Oreochromis niloticus: one gene and its partner. The protein of the gene in region 2 interacts with the protein of the main gene of each other region in a biochemical or structural test. Links are inferred from orthologs where the notes say so. Each region holds a gene or a part of one and is shown on either strand. Other genes may lie near its edges.

What was found.
Region 1: the proteins of cav1 (region 2) and ptgs2b form a complex in vitro, tested with the Homo sapiens proteins (2 studies listed by BioGRID). The link is inferred for Oreochromis niloticus from reciprocal best matches to the Homo sapiens genes CAV1 and PTGS2.

What each region holds. Positions count from the first base shown.
Region 1 is NC_031981.2:2,446,904-2,454,557, forward strand, and holds the start of ptgs2b (prostaglandin G/H synthase 2), read right to left. Parts: upstream 3,254-7,654; 5' UTR 3,193-3,253; coding exon 3,105-3,192; intron 2,894-3,104; coding exon 2,777-2,893; intron 2,678-2,776; coding exon 2,534-2,677; intron 2,395-2,533; coding exon 2,251-2,394; intron 1,982-2,250; coding exon 1,800-1,981; intron 1,708-1,799; coding exon 1,624-1,707; intron 1,530-1,623; coding exon 1,283-1,529; intron 911-1,282; coding exon 624-910; intron 515-623; coding exon 367-514; intron 1-366. Other genes in the region: pla2g4ab (cytosolic phospholipase A2), read left to right, coding at 6,255-6,278, 7,389-7,470, 7,650-7,654. UniProt on the Homo sapiens protein: Dual cyclooxygenase and peroxidase in the biosynthesis pathway of prostanoids, a class of C20 oxylipins mainly derived from arachidonate ((5Z,8Z,11Z,14Z)-eicosatetraenoate, AA, C20:4(n-6)), with a particular role in the inflammatory response.
Region 2 is NC_031972.2:41,353,796-41,361,940, forward strand, and holds the start of cav1 (caveolin-1), read right to left. Parts: upstream 3,249-8,145; 5' UTR 2,959-3,248; coding exon 2,923-2,958; intron 1,953-2,922; coding exon 1,785-1,952; intron 1-1,784. UniProt on the Homo sapiens protein: May act as a scaffolding protein within caveolar membranes. Forms a stable heterooligomeric complex with CAV2 that targets to lipid rafts and drives caveolae formation. Mediates the recruitment of CAVIN proteins (CAVIN1/2/3/4) to the caveolae.

The DNA of each region.
Region 1 (7,654 bases), on a different chromosome or scaffold from region 2:
CTTTAAAGTAGAGGGACTCCCCGTGTCTGTTTATATCTCGCCTGCAGTGATGACAGTCTGCTTACTCTACCTTAAGATGAAATGACCATCTGGTTTTCAGAGTCATGGAAATAAATACCTAACCTTCAAAACTGCCAGCAACTGCTTAGGGACTCTGAGGCATTTCCTCAATATCAGGTAAACTATTGCATAAACTGTATTCTGCAGCCTACGGGTTTTTCAGTCACACTTTATGATAATAAGAATCATCGCGCTGCAAAGATATTAATCTAGCAATAGCTAGGCCTGAGACAGCAATTACAACAACCTGTTTTTGACACATTTTCAGCATACAGGTATTTTCAAGAAGTGCTGAATTTGTCTCACCTGTCAGGTCTTCGAAAGACGTGTAGGGCTTCATGGAGAATCGTTTCCTGTAGGCGTTAAGGGACTGGTAACGCATTTGTCTGCTGTTCTCTATGGACTTAATGGCCACATACAAGATGGGTCCGGGGACATTTCGACCACCAGCAACCTAAATTACAAAGAAGCACAAATGAAATTTCAATTCTGCATCCCTAAAGCAACGCTGGTCTTGTATGTTTCAGTCTAACTGCTGCTGCGGGAGCTTAAAGAGTTCTTACCCGTCCGGCAATCTGATTGGTGAACGACTCCACCAGGTTGCTGATGCCGTGCTCAGTCACGACAGAGGTGTTGAAGACAAACTGCTTGTAGCTGTAATCTGTCTCCTCAATGTGGAAACTATCAGGCATCAGAGGGTGCCAGTGATAAAGGGTGTTGAACTCGGATGCAATGCGGTTCTGGTACTGGAAGCGCTGGTTAAAGAGCAGCTCAGGGTCAAACTTCAGTTTGAAGTGATAGCCACTGAGATGCTGCACGTAGTCCTCAATCACGATTTTGATGGTCTCACCTGCCAGATGAGAAATGTGACGGTTTATACAATGAAGACACTCTAAATGCTAAAAGCCACTCTGTGCTTTAAAATAAATCGTGCTTATTGATTGATTGATTTGCATGTCTGTAGGTTGGGTAAGCACAAAGTGGATAGTAAAACACATTTCCTCTTTCTGATGTTGACAAGAAATTCTCAAGTCTTTCAGTAAATCAGGTTCCTGAAATGAAATGCTCCACTGTGTGCAACAGGGTCATTAGGAGGTGAAAACTAAGAAGTAAAACTTCCTTTTTTTAAAGAAAAATCCCCTGCTAACGATATTATTATTAGCTTTTTAATAAAAAATTTCCAACTACGTTACAGCTGGTATCTGGACTTCTTTTAACTTACCGATTAGGATGAGCCGTGCGGTCTGGAAGAGTCTTTCGTCATCCCAGTATGGGTGGACCTCTTTCAGCACATCGCACACACGGTTGTGTTCGCGGAGCCAGATGGTGGCGTACATCATCAGACCAGGGACCAGGCCGAATGCCTCGTGGCCGACAGCGAAGCGGTGAGAATCTGGGACGTGAGGGGGGTAATGCATCTCGACACCCACTTCCTTAACTGTCGGGGGGTACATCTCTCCATCAAGCATCTGCAGGGTTACACAAAAGAGGAAACCGCTGTGAGAAACGCACGTGAGCTGGTCTCTTTGACGCCTCGAGTACAGCTATCTTTTTCCCCCATACCTGATATTTCAGCTTGCCATCCTTAAAGAGTCTCAGCTTGTGCTGCTTCTCCAGGTTGTCACCGTAGATGTGGTTGAGGTCCACCTGAAAGTGTAAGACACGCCAATTAAAAACTGCGTCGCATTAAAATGAGTTTGCTTTTCAAAAACCGAGATCTTCAGACCCGCTCCACTTACCCCATGACCCTTAGCAACAGTGAAAGCAGGCCCTCTCTTCATGTCAGATTTGAAGAACTGGTGGGTGAAGTGCTGTGCGAAGAAGGCAAACATCAAACTGGTGCCCTGCGGGTCTGGTATAAACTGTCTCCTCATTAAGAGCTTCTCAGCCAGAACTTTAACATCAGGTAGCTCCTTTTTGCCTGGAAGAATAAGAAGACTTCACTGAGCACATAACACAATGATAGGAAAATCACAGCTCTTTGGGTCTGTTTCATACTTCTGACGCAAAAAATAACTTGATCTCTTTGGTTTGGGCTTGTAGGGGGAGGTTTTTCTGTGTTGCCTCATCTAAGAGGAAAACTAATTCCAATTTGCGCGCTTCCTATGATGTAATTCGACAAAGACGGTTTTGTTCAGTATCTTAAGAATCTCAGAAAACTGGTTTTCCAAAGGTAGACAGTGTACTCACCTACTACTCCCATAGGGGTTGGGCAATCCTGCGGCACAGGGGGGAGGGAGCGTGTATAGTAGGAAAGGTTGGAGTAGGCTTCCCAGCTCTTATAGCCGTAATCAGCATTATAAGTTGGAGGACTGTCAATCAAGTGGGATCGGGCTAGAGAAAGGAAAACCCATATTAGTCCTTCATTTAGTATAAACACTACAACAAGTTGCTGCGTAAATTGTTTAATGTACTGTGAAAAACTTTCCAGTCCACTTTTTTCATTTTTGCCTTCGGGCAGAGAGAGACTTACATGTCAGCACATATCTCATGATGACATCCCTGAGGAATGAGATGCTGTTGACGATGTTCCAGAAACCCTTGAAGTGGGTCAGGATGTAGTGGACTGTGTTGGGTGTTGGCTTCAGAGACACTTTGATCCAGGTGAAGAATTCAGCTGTAAGGGACAAAGAGAGCACGTGAATCAAGCCATCAAGTCACCACCAGAAATGCACCTTCATTTTTGTTTCACTCCAAGCGCGATGTTCACACTTACGTGTTGTGCAGTTTTGCCCATAGTACCCCGTGCGTGTGCAGTCACACTCGTATTCTTCTGAGCCCAGTGGTGAGCAGACACCCCTGTTCTGGCATGGCTCTGAGCAACATGGGTTAACTGTAACAGATAAGGTTGGACACTTACTATCTGTTTAATAAAAAAATAATTATTCAGTTCTCAAGAAGAATAAGAAGAAGATCTTATTTGGCATGACAATAATACTAATAGAAAGAAATCACGACTTCTAAACTGTTGCTGTGATTTGGGCTGTATCAATAAAATAAAATGGAAAAACTGTAAGAAATAATCTGCAGTTTCCTCAGCTTACCAGTTTCGCCGACAAGAAAGCACAGGGCCAACAGGAAAAACAGCAAAGTGAGTTTGTTCATGCTCCGAAGACTCCGCTTTTGTTTCATGTCTGCTCTCCCACTCGCGCGCGACGATGGTGAAATTTTGAATGTCCACAGCCAGGATGAGGCTTTTATAACACGGTGCTCCTCCTACCACCCCACCCACAAACTGTGACAAAAGTGATTTTTTGGTTTATTTTATTATATTAATGTGTTTGCTTATATTAGTGAGCAGGGTTTATGAAGGGGCTGTATATAAAATACATAAATCACCTGTTTTGCGAGTGTCTTTATGACTCTGGGTTACTGTACCCACACTATAATCGTTTCATTCCTTTTTGTCCACTTAAAATATCTTTATAGAACCAATATGTGATACGTGTTGTAATTTCTGATGCACTCTTGGCCACATCACTCTTTAAAAGACATTTTTAATGACAATGAGACTTTTAGCCGGATCAAAGACGGATATATAAAAACCACTTTGCTAAAAAGTGAATGCAGAACATTCCTTTTTGCGTCAAAATAACTTTATATCTTTCAAGAGAGTTAAGTTTGACGTCTGTTATAGGACAACAAGTAACTTACAACAGTTTAAATGTAGGCAATCCTTTTATTTTACTTTATTTATTTTTTTATTTTTTATTTTTTTTGAGGAAATACCGGAAATCATTTTTGGAAGAAACAAGTTTTCTTATCTACGGAATATTTATTTTCTATCCTCACTCCTTCAGTGCTACAGCAGGTAAATTAACTAATTGTATGCGTCTTTTGGGGTTTTTTTGTCGCCATTAAAACGCCACGCTGTGATTTTAATTAAAGTCTAATAATATTTACTGGTTTATATAACGTATTACCACGACACGCTTGGGGTTTTTTTGATATCTTTAGCCTCTACAAATCGTATGAACAAACATGGAGAAATGATAAGTAAAAATACTCGAGTACTCTTTGATTGATATTAAAAAAAATACAAGTTTGAGAATCTTTCCCGGAGATGTTTAATAAAAGTGAACATATAAAACTCTTTTTTTTTTCATTGAATTTCACTGAATTAAATGAATCATCACCTAAACCAGTAAAAAGTCGCATGGCACCTCCGTTTAAACGTTCATTTCATTCAGAAACTTTTTCAACCACAGATGCCACCTTGCGGTTGATGATCGTGCATATTTGGATCAAGTCTCAAAATCGGAGTCAGTCTGACTGCTACTCGGAAATTTCCTATTAAAAGAATCTTGACCATCTTTTTTTAAAACCAGCATTTAAACCCCGCTATATTTTTATTGTCTTCCGGTAGTTTTGTTTTTTTCTCTCGATGCAAACGTAATAAGCTACGATACTGCTCACTGCCGGGTACGGTAGCGCCTCCTCTCCACCTCCCGAGCTATTGGTGTTATCGACATGAGACATTTTTCTGGATTTGTGAGTTGATAGCATGCGCCTGTTAAGGTACGTGGATATTTCCTTTCCTTTTTAGGCACATTGATGTGTTTTTTCAAACGGGTTTGGGCGCAGTTTAAAGGAGGAGGTCTGCGCCTTTGCTCCTAATGGGTTAAACAGCCAAGGCTTAAATTTTACGCGACGCCGAAGACAAGGAAACTCACAGGCCAGTTTAAATAGGACCGATCACTGCAGGGATACACAAGTAAAACTGAATAAAACGGAACTTTTGCGAATTATTATTATGTTTATTCTACCTTCATAGATATTTTATATCATGTGTCATGTTTATATAAATGCAAATTCATAGTATCCACCACATCTTTACTGCCTTAGAAGGACTAACATTACTCAGCATCGCATGTAGCGCACTCATAACATCATCAATCCTTGTTTGATCTGCCCTTAATCTGCCGGGCTAATAAGAATAATGTAAAGCCTCTTAGCAGTGCCTAATGCTAAGTTTTGCGTGAAGCCTCTAATCCGTATAAGAATTAAATTGCAATGACTCCTCGGCGTAATCTTTCTCTGGAGACACGCACAGTGATTCACTGAAGTGAGTCTTCCGACCTGCTCCTTGTGTGGCTCAGGTGGGAGCACACTCGCCCAGGAGGAGCCTGACTGTGCTCCGGTGAAAGCCACAGCTGCGGCAGCTGTTTTGCATTATAGACCGTCGCTGCAAGTCTCTTTCGCGTTCTGCATCCTCATATGAAAATTTGCTGCCACGCGGCGCTTTGCTGAAGCTGGCACACTTGCAGGGCTCTGTAGCCTGCATGCGCCCATTGTATGCAGCAGCGGAACAAGGGCAGAGTGAACTGGCACCGTCCGAAGTTGGACCACTGATGCAAAGTACGTGACCGCTTCTGTGAACACACAGACGCTCTACGTGCTCTCAGTCCTCTCAGTAATTACACACTTTGGTGAGCAGCAGAGAAAAGGCTGGTGACCTTCATATGCTATCACTTTTACACTCGCACTCACACACATAGACATACACATATCTATGCAAATTTCTTATCACGATATGGTGTTCAGACATCACAAAGAGAAGGCGTTCGCGTTGCTAAAAATAGCCACCTTGCCACCTATTCTGCAAATGCGCACTAAGCTTTACATTTTGTCGTCCAGCATGTTGCATTTATTCAGGGAAGACCCTCCTCCCTTTACTGGCATATTTTCTCTCGCTCTCTTAACACATGCTTGTGGTGAACACACACACACACACACACACACACACACACACACACCCCATTTCTATTGGCCCAGTCCTCTTATCGGGATTTTGTGGCTCAGCACACTTCCTTTTACCCCTGCCAAGATGTAAAAGACTTCACTGGTATTTGCGAAGCGACTTATTTTTAAAAATTCCAATGCACTATAAAAAAAGTGTTTTGTTTAGGAAAGGCATCCTTTCAAGAGATATTGTAATATGTCCATTTGCTGCAACTCTGGCTAAAACTAAAGCTGTAAATCGCGGTAATGATGTTAGTATTTTGTTGTCGTTTGCATCACAGTTTTAATAGTAACATAATATTCTTTTTTCAGCCCGTTCAAACTCTAACCCTTTGTTTGCACTTCTTTGTTTCATATTTCAGGCTCTCGGTGCTGCAGTTTGTGACAGATATGTTCTCTTGACCTAAAGTTCACATCTTGACGAAGGCTTCCCTGCGAGTTGCTCACCTCACATGACAATGGCTTCCAATATAATTGTGAGTGTCGACACAGTGTGTGTTTACATGACTGTAAATAAAACTGAGGCCAAAACAAAAGTGGACGGTTTCTTTGGCATCAACCGTGACACAAATAATTCTGTGGAAGTTCTTAGTTTACTGGTATTAAAAAAATTCCCTCTTATCGCAAGCCACAGCCTTGGGTGTAAGCGCAACAATGAGCGTGTCAACGTCAAGGCCATTTTCATTTCCATGTTGGTGGAAGTCAAGGTTGAAAGGGTTGTTTTAAAAGAAAAATATGCATATTGTTTGATCAGTGTGACGTCTGAGTTTTTATCACGTAATTCCAGTTAAATTTCATTTATTTAGTACCATAATCATAAATCATAAAATAATTAAGCTCACAGCGTTGTAGAGGAAAAACTGAACAAGCGGCCTTTTAACAAGAAGGGGCGAGAGGGGAGCTGCAAAAAAGTCTCACAGCACTTCCTGTTTTACAGATCTGCAAATCGTCGTTGAAACTATTCGTCTTTTGGGTTTTTAAAAATAATTTAAGAGTGTGTAAAAGGCTGCCAGAAAGAGGAATCTTAAATAGTCACAATATCAAACTGCACTGCAACACGCAGAAATTCAAAACAACATCTGTTCTGTGAGATTGGAGAGATCTAATATCTAGAAATGACAAAGGGAACACTGTTGGGACCTTCAAGTAGTCGTATTTGAACAGTGTCCAATACTTTAACTTTCATTTCAGTGTGCTACCAAACTTTCAGGGATACGACAATGTAGCACAAGGGTAACTGAGGTGAAAGGGTTGCTGTAAAATATATAAAGGGTTTACAGTACGGTCCCATTAAATGCTCATCTACAGTATTTATTAGAGTCACAGTATTTGGGAAAGGGCTACAAATTTTGCAGTACTGTCAAAATATAAGGAGAAAGCTGTCGTAGCACAGTGTGAACACAGCTGGGAAGCGTATCCTTAACTGGAGAGTTTCACAGGGGAATGGCACTCTGTGTCGACCTGCCAAAAAACCCAGATGTTCTCATGTTCTGGATGTGTTCATTTTTTGCTCTCAACATGGTTGATGTGATTTTTTTCTCATGAAGCAATGAAGTGAGGCTGAACTCTGAATGTCCAAATTGCAGGTGGAGCAGCAGTTTTCTCACAAATTCACAGTGACTGTAGTTCGAGCTCAGAACGTCACCAAGGGAGCGCTGGGCGACCTGCGTAAGTGCTTATATAATTTTTTCCTTACAGTAACATATTACCATGCTTTTACTTCATATTGTTGGAATGTAATCCATGTAAATTTACAGTAAAAGAAATACAAAAGCACTTGATGATGGTTATTTTGAGTTTGGTTTTCAGCTGTGTAGTAACCCTGTTGAACTTGTTTGTGCGCCCAGTGGAC
Region 2 (8,145 bases):
TTTTCTGTAGATGTTAATTCAATTAACAAATTAAATCAAAGAGTTTTTTCCTGGGCAATATAAAGCAACTAAAATGCAAAAGAAACTGTAAATAGATGTTTACTACCGCTTGTTAAAAGCTGAAGGTTTCAGGCTTCTCACGTTAAATGCTGCCTATAGCATGTTCATTTTTACAGTGTACGCACATGTGTTGTCAGGTCATTTCAGCAGCAGTCTGTTGGCTTGATTAGCGAGGGGTGGGACAATCGTGAAGCTGCATTCTATTCTGAGACTGGAAGGAGAGTCTGACTCACTGTCACAATGGAGGAGAGCAGGGAGAGAGCAGCCAGAGAGTGGTGGAAGACGTTGGGATAGAAGCAGCAACCAGAAAAACTAGAGAATAAGAGACTTTTTCTTTCCAAACCCAGCAACAAATATTTTGAAAAAGCTTCCTTTCTCGTACAAAAATGGAAATTCATCATGTTCATAGCACATTTTATGTAGACTTGTGCGTCATATGGGAAAAATGCACAAACTGGCAGTGACACACATGCCTCTCAGACAGTGATAAATTCCATAAAAACGAAGTGTTTTCAAATATTTAACGAGAAATGGAAGACAAAATGTACTTTTTTGGGCAGGTTGTATGTGAAATGAGTGTCATGTAATAACAGAAAATTAAATGAGCACAACATTTTTAATGCATTCCTTGTATATGTGCATTATAGTTGTTTTAATCAAAATGCTCTGTCAGTATGTTTTCATCAGTCAATTTGGCAGGGGATGAAACTTTACCACATGTATGTATTTTTTTAAAGAGAAAGGTTATGTTCAGTAGTTATGGTCTGATTAGTTAATTCAGCAGCGATGGGCACTCATTTCTACTGAAAACCTTGTATTCGCCAAGAAAAAGAAACAAATGGACTCACTTCTCTGACGCAACTACAGGCATGCGGGGAGGAAACGGAGGGGGCAGTGGCAGAATGGGAGGAAAGAAGGGAGGATAAGGAGTGGTGAGGGATCCCCTCAGACTAATCGCCCACTTGGGTGTTTCCCTGTTTTAACAAAGCAGAGTTCAGGCATTTCAAAGATCTGACCCTTCCTGAACACGCAGGGAGCTGCTTGACCCCACTCTGATGTAACCAGATGCACCAGCTGGAGAGGAGCACCGCCGGGCGCACACGGCTGCAGCTCCTCTCTCCCACACAGATGAGTCAGGTGGCTTGCAGCGCACCACTCCTTTGCCGCTATAACATCTCTCCCTGTGCTAAATCCTTTTAACAAAAATAAATACTGAGTATTTATCCGACCAGGCTTCTCTGTTATGTACAGAATTCTACTTTCCCATTAGACAGGCGTGTGCAGGGAGGACTGTGGGAAATGTGTGTTCCAACAACAGGAAATTGGTTATGTTTCCTCTGTTGGAGCGAAGTTGGGACGTTCACGTTTCAAACCCACTCCACAAACAAATGTGCAGAAGGGCACTGCATGCCATTGTATCGCCGCCGCTCAATGATCTTTAATACGTTTGCAAAGCTTCTTCCTAATAGGGGAAGACACTGAGTGGTAACACTTGCACGGAGCATAGCAAAGGTGCGCAAAAGAACTGCATGCGTGTCCGACGCGCAGATAACCTGTTTGACAGCTCATAGAAATAAAATGGACATCGTTTATCAGAGATTATTTCAGTTTACAGCGCCTGTCATACAGCTAAGCCCTGTGTAAACTCGGCAACAGGTGGTTTCGGTTGCCATGGACGAAAAAACATGAATCTCACAAGTTACCAATTTTGAGGTTTAACTCACCTTAACAACGTCGTCGTTTATGTGTTTGGGATCCCGGTTGACCAGGTCGATCTCTTTGGTGTGGACATCCTCCATCGTTTTCTCGTTGAGACTGTCGTTGTCCATGTCTTTGTTGTTGGGTTTATATATGTTCCCTTGTTTTCGGATAAACGGCGAATGCAGAAACTCCTGCAAGGATCCGGGGGAGACAGAAGGAGAAGAGGGTGAAGAGGAGAAGGAATAGTGTGTAGCGCGCTGAGAGAGAGAGCGACTGGAGCTGCAAGTTACCAGGCTTCCCCACAAACAGGGATGGGTTTAAGTGAATAGAAAGTAAAGTACCACACCCCTTCATCCAGCCGCAAGGGGTCCTCACCACCCAGACACTAATCCAGTATGTTAACATGACATACAGTTGATTCAACGTGTAGTCTACCCATGACAATGAAACACTTTTAAGAAAGGTGCAAAGGCGTTATTTTTAAATATGAAAGAATTTCCAATTAATACTCTTCCTACACCAAAAATATATATTTAGAAAGTAAAAGAAAAATCACGAATTCAGTTATATTTGCAATGTCATTTGTAATATGTTCACATTAAGTATGCAATAACTTACTGGACTTGTGTTTTTATCCTTTAAAAATACGTAAAGACCCCTTTAGCGCTTATGATCCTCCTCAATCCTACGAGGCAAGCACCTTATATTATTACGCACACCACACGATCTCAGTTGGTATTAAAGGACAGGGAAGATTTGTGACTGAAATTCAGAATTTTACGGTAAAAACTGGATTTGTTTCCTCCTTTTTTAAACGCATTGAAATGTACACTTTAAATGTTTGTGCGTAAATAATCGGTTACTGTGCTGAAAGAGGACTTAGCAGGTAAAATCCTCACACCCACATTCTAATGTAAACTGCATCGACCTTGTCATTCTCTTAGCCTGTGTGGGAGAAGTGCTCATGACTGGGTGCCAGAGCGCAAGATAAGGACTGAAACATAGCGCATTCATTTTTCCCTCGTGAACGCATTTTTTTTTTTTTTTTTTTTTTTTTTTTTTTTTTGAGGGGGGGTAATCAGCTCCTGGAAGAAAAGTAAATGTCAGCTACAAACAAACAACCAAAAATTAAAAGAACTATAGCTGAGAGCTATACTGTACCTCTTCTGTCTCGCCGTCCTTCAGTCCTCCTGTCATGCTGTCCTCACGTTTGGAGAGATTAGCACGTTGAAACAGACAAAAAAAAAGATAATATAGGAAGCAGAGAGGGAGGCGTGGATGCAAACTGGGAGGACGGGGTCTTTTCTCTCAGAGTCCTGTATAGTGAAGTTATTCCTGCCCTTTTTGTTGGACGTGACTAAAATTCAATGCACAAGCGCGTACGGGGAAACCTCCAGTGTTTCCTCGGATACCGCAGAGCGCAGCTGGGTAGTCACCAGTGAGCAGACAGGAGAGCCACCCTGGAACCTGCTCGGCTGGAGGAGAGACTGACGTGATCTCAGACTGAAAGGGTGTTTGTAGCCGGCATGGAATTTCTTATTTAGGGATCACAGCAGAGTATAATAAGTGTTTTGTTCAGTGAAACGTGGGAGTTAATTGAACCTGGCAAGGTGTGGACACTTGCCATACCTTAGCCTACGGGGGAAAAAATCCAAGCGGTTATAATGGATAGAGGGAAGAAAGAAATATATAGTTCAGCTATTTCAGCACATCTAAAATCACGCCTGTCATCAGCTGCTTCATAAGATCACATTTATATTTTGGTTAGTGAACCCAGTTTTTCAAGGTGTCAGCTTCATCAGGTTGTGAAGTCGTGCTGGCCACTCTGGTCTGTTTACATTCTTGTGTCAGCTCATCGTGGAGAGACGCCAGCTGGCACCCTGCTGTTTTCAGCCAGAGGGACTGCGAGAGAAACACATTTTAGGTGCGTCTGATTGGCGTGTCAATAAAAGAAACGGGTTGGCACGATGATGAAGTTGTTTTCACATTTTTCAAAGCTCTCATTTGCTTTTAGGTTTAGAGCGACATGCACAGAGATGTCAGCTCTTGCCTTCCTCAGTGTGAAAGCTTATCTCAGTTAACGGAAGAGGAACTCCTCTTTGCTGTTTATTTTGAGAAGCACCTTATTTCTTATTAACTCTGGGCTATTCATTTACTATCTTTATTCTGTAATTATTCTGTAATTTAATTTCAATACTTTGCTATGACACTGGATCAGTTATACTGTAGGACTTTATGAGAAAACCCAGAAGTTGACGCTGTCATAGCCAAACTTTTGTTGAATTGGGACAAACAAGTCAGCCTTTATCTACTCTATCTCCAGGAACTTAATTTCAATTGTTTATTGATGATTGTAGTGCAAATAAACTATTACAAACAAAAATGGTGAGCATTTGTTTGTGATAGCAACACGAATGAACTTAAGGAGTAAGAAAGAAAATAATACAAATTAATAAAAATTAAAACCATTTTTAATTCATTGAAAGTTATTTATAAACAAGGGAGGCAGAAATGATTAAAGCTGATGAGTAATTGGGAAAACTGGATGAATATTTTCTCGTAATTAAACAATTCTATTAATAACAGTAATAACTAATAGTATCTCCACACAGTAGAAGCAGATAAAGTGATGAATGATTAAACTATAGGCCAAAAGCTATTGATGAATTATTACAAGACCTAACCATTACTGAAAAATTATTAGTTGAACATAATAGCGGAGAAAATATTGCTGTGTGGCAGGCAGGGTTGGACACAAACACAGGACTCAGAAAGCCAGATGTAAAACTCAAAAGCAGCTTTATTGCTAAGAATCGTAACACGAAGAATGAACAAAGAGAGAAACCTAACTTTGAGACACAGGAGGAAGAAACACACAGTTTGGCAGAAGACAAAGGGAAAGTCAGGCAACATACACACCAGGTAATTATGGAGATAGGAAACACCAGGGAACACAGCTGAATGGAATCTAAGGAGACAATGGGAAGCAAAAATAACACAACCTAGAGGAGATGAGTGACTATCAGAATAAAACAGGAAGCAACAAACACTGAGACCAACACACGTGAACTTCACACAGCGGCAGGAGATAAATGCAGAGACATGACTGACTGAGGAGAAAGGGAACACAAAAGATGATAACAAAAGATGACATAATCTTATGAGAAACACAGACTGGAAACAAAGGGAAACTAAGAAGCACAAGGAAACATTATGCTGAAAGGACTAGATGCAGAGCTAGAACATAAACTGTATCTCAAAATCCAAAACAAAACGAGCTCACAGAAAACTCAAAACACGGCAAAACTCAGAAAGCTGGGTCACAGACCCAGAACCATGACAAATATATATTGTAAGCAGAAAATATTTCAGTAATGTTTAAACTGCATTTAGAAGTTAAATAGTATAAGCATAAGTCTAAATTGTTGAAAAGGCTAAAAGTAATGCATAAATGCTCAAATCTGTATGGTAATGAATAAATACCTTAGACCAAACTCACCAGGGACAATTTGATTGTTTTACTCAAAATTTCAATAAGCAGGTGTATAAAATTCTTAAATAAATTCAAGTGGAAATGAGTTCAAGTGGACACATTTGAACATGTAGGGATACAAGACTGTGTTGGTTCCAGTTTAATACAACTATAGTCAAGTGCAGATGTATAAAGTCACACAAGACACCAAATAAAATTATCTTTAAAAACTTGAAGCACTAATGCTTTTTTGGCGCATAATGTTAAGATAAAAGAGTGCACCAATGAAGGTTTTGTAGACTTCAGTTTTTTCCTCTTGCTTTCATTTATTCTGAACTACTCTAATGCTTTTTTTTGGCTTTTTTTTTTTAGAAAGCTATTCTATGAATAAACACCTGGTTAGCCTCCTTGAGTTCACTGGGTGTGGCACCGAAGTGAGATCAAAATAACCAAATGAGCACCTGCTTCAAACAAAGATGTTACTTTGCTGAAGCCTGGAAGAGAAGCTTACACAAACTGCTACTAACACTGCGGAAAATATTAGCAAATTTACAAGAAACATTTGTGCAAATGAGATTGCACATTATGCGCTAGCATGACTTTGTTTATGTAAGCTGAGGTGCAAAAAACATTGTGAACTGTGGCAAATTTCAGATGATACGAAGAATATTAAAAACACTTAATTGCCACTCAGAACACTGAGAGGACAGAATCTCAAACAACTCATCAGGTACCAGAGCCAGAGGTAAAAGTCATGAGGATATGGAACAGCAACTGGGTTCATTACTCATTAGTGTCGATTGCTAAGAAATCACAAGCAAACTTACTATAATTTGCATTTGCGCAAAATTTGATGGAAACAATAGTAATAGAAATTCTTGAGTATCAGAACGGGGTTAACTGTGATAGGAGAATAAAAATAGCCATAAGGGCATCAGGTCAATGCAGGATCATTTTTTTAATTATTGCTTTTTCAAACATATATGAAATGACATTTTTACATTGCATCATACGCATAGGGCAGCAACAGTGGTGTGGTGCTTAGCACCATTACCTCAGAGCACGAAGGTCCTGGGTTCAAATCCAACAGCCAGATGGGGCTTTTCTGTGTGCAGTATGCATGTTCAACTCCATGTCCCTATGGATCTTCTTCTAGGTGCTCTGGCTTCCTTCCACAGTCCAAACGAATACAATAAGTGGTTGTAGTTGTGAATATGAGCATCAGTGCTTATCTATCTTTACGCTGCTTATGTTCTGGGTTGATTTAATCCACCAAGAACAAGAGTTGGAGGTCAAAAGGTCAAAGTGAAGAACCTCTTTGGCTTGTTTTAGGCACTGGTTGCTGAAACACACCAGAAAACAATTTCAGTGCACGTTCCTTTTATTTCCTTGTAATTACACAATAATACAGCGTTCTGTTTCAGGCTGGGCTGTGATTGGCTAGCTGAAGGAATTTACCAGACAAAAAGAGAAATGCCAGACACAACAGATCAACTTGCACCTCAAAATATTTAATTTAAAAACTCAGCTGTAGATGGACAGAGTTTAAGAGAGAACTGTGTTCGAGTCTCTTCATTTGGTCAAAGGGGAACATCATGAATGTCTGGATAAGAGAATACTCTTCATAAAAAAACAAACAAACAAAAAACTTCTGCATAGCATTATGAATGTTAATGCCATGCAGGCGTGCAAGTCTAACAGCCAACGCCTCAGGTCATGTTCCATCAACGCACAGCTCATCTTTGTATAGGAAAGTGTGTTATGAAATCTCAGCAAAGTGATTTATGAGACCATTTTGGCACTCACCTGCACATCCCAGCCACACTCATCTTCTGTGACAGAAAGAAGAAACCACACACAGAAGAATTACCTTAAGGAAAAAAGACCTTTATTTTCGTCATGAAGGACATATTTATTGTTAAAATAAGAGTTTCATTCCAAAATGTGTCAATATTGTGTAAAACAGTAACCAGAAAAATTAAAGTCAAACTCATAAAAGTAGCATGATTACTGTTAAAAGTAGTTTTACTTTAGTGACAAGTGAATATCTTACAGTATTATAACCTTTTTGTCTTTAATGAATATAAAGCCTGCGCTAGAATAAAAAGCCCAGATGAAACGTGGTGGTTTAATGCTACTGCTGCACACAACTGTCTTCCACTTTCAGTTGTACAACTCTACTCTAAAGGTTATCCAAGAGCTGAACACAAAGCCAACAAAATGCATTGAAACAAAGCATTGCATCATACAGCGTTCAGATTTTTGATTTAAAGGTTCAGCAGGTTAGCCTGCAGTGCAACCACCAGTACATGCCAATGTAGCTTTTATTTCAACTGATCCATCTTCCTTGAGAAATCTGAATTATCATCTGCTATAAACTTAATTGCACTGAACAAGTTTAAGTTTTGTTGTGTGTCCATTTCGGATGAACCCGTTTTACTATCTCCAACAAGAGACTACAACGTTAGCGACTAGCTTCTAATGAAACTATAGCATCTACTTAAAAATTCTGATATTTGTCACAAGACTACAAAGGACTGCAGAAACTCAAATATGTGGAAATGTTGGTCAGTGTCACCTGGATGTAGCATCTGTTTATAACATGAGCCACAACAGTGAGATAATACAGTATGTGAGAGGTATACAGGCGTTTTTAGCTTGCTGTCAAGTTTTTCAGACTTCAAACAGTAAAACCAACTAACCAAGCAACAAAATGAACATTCTCATCCCCAGGCACCAAACAGGAGGTATAGCTGGAAATGTATACCCATCTCTCACTGCTTGGTAGTGTAAGATTATAAACTAAAGCTCTGAAGATCAGTCAAAATGGCAGCAAATGACCTAGTGTTTCCTTAGTTGGAATGCTAATCAGGTATTTTTATGAGAGCTGATGCAAAACCTTAAAAGCTATT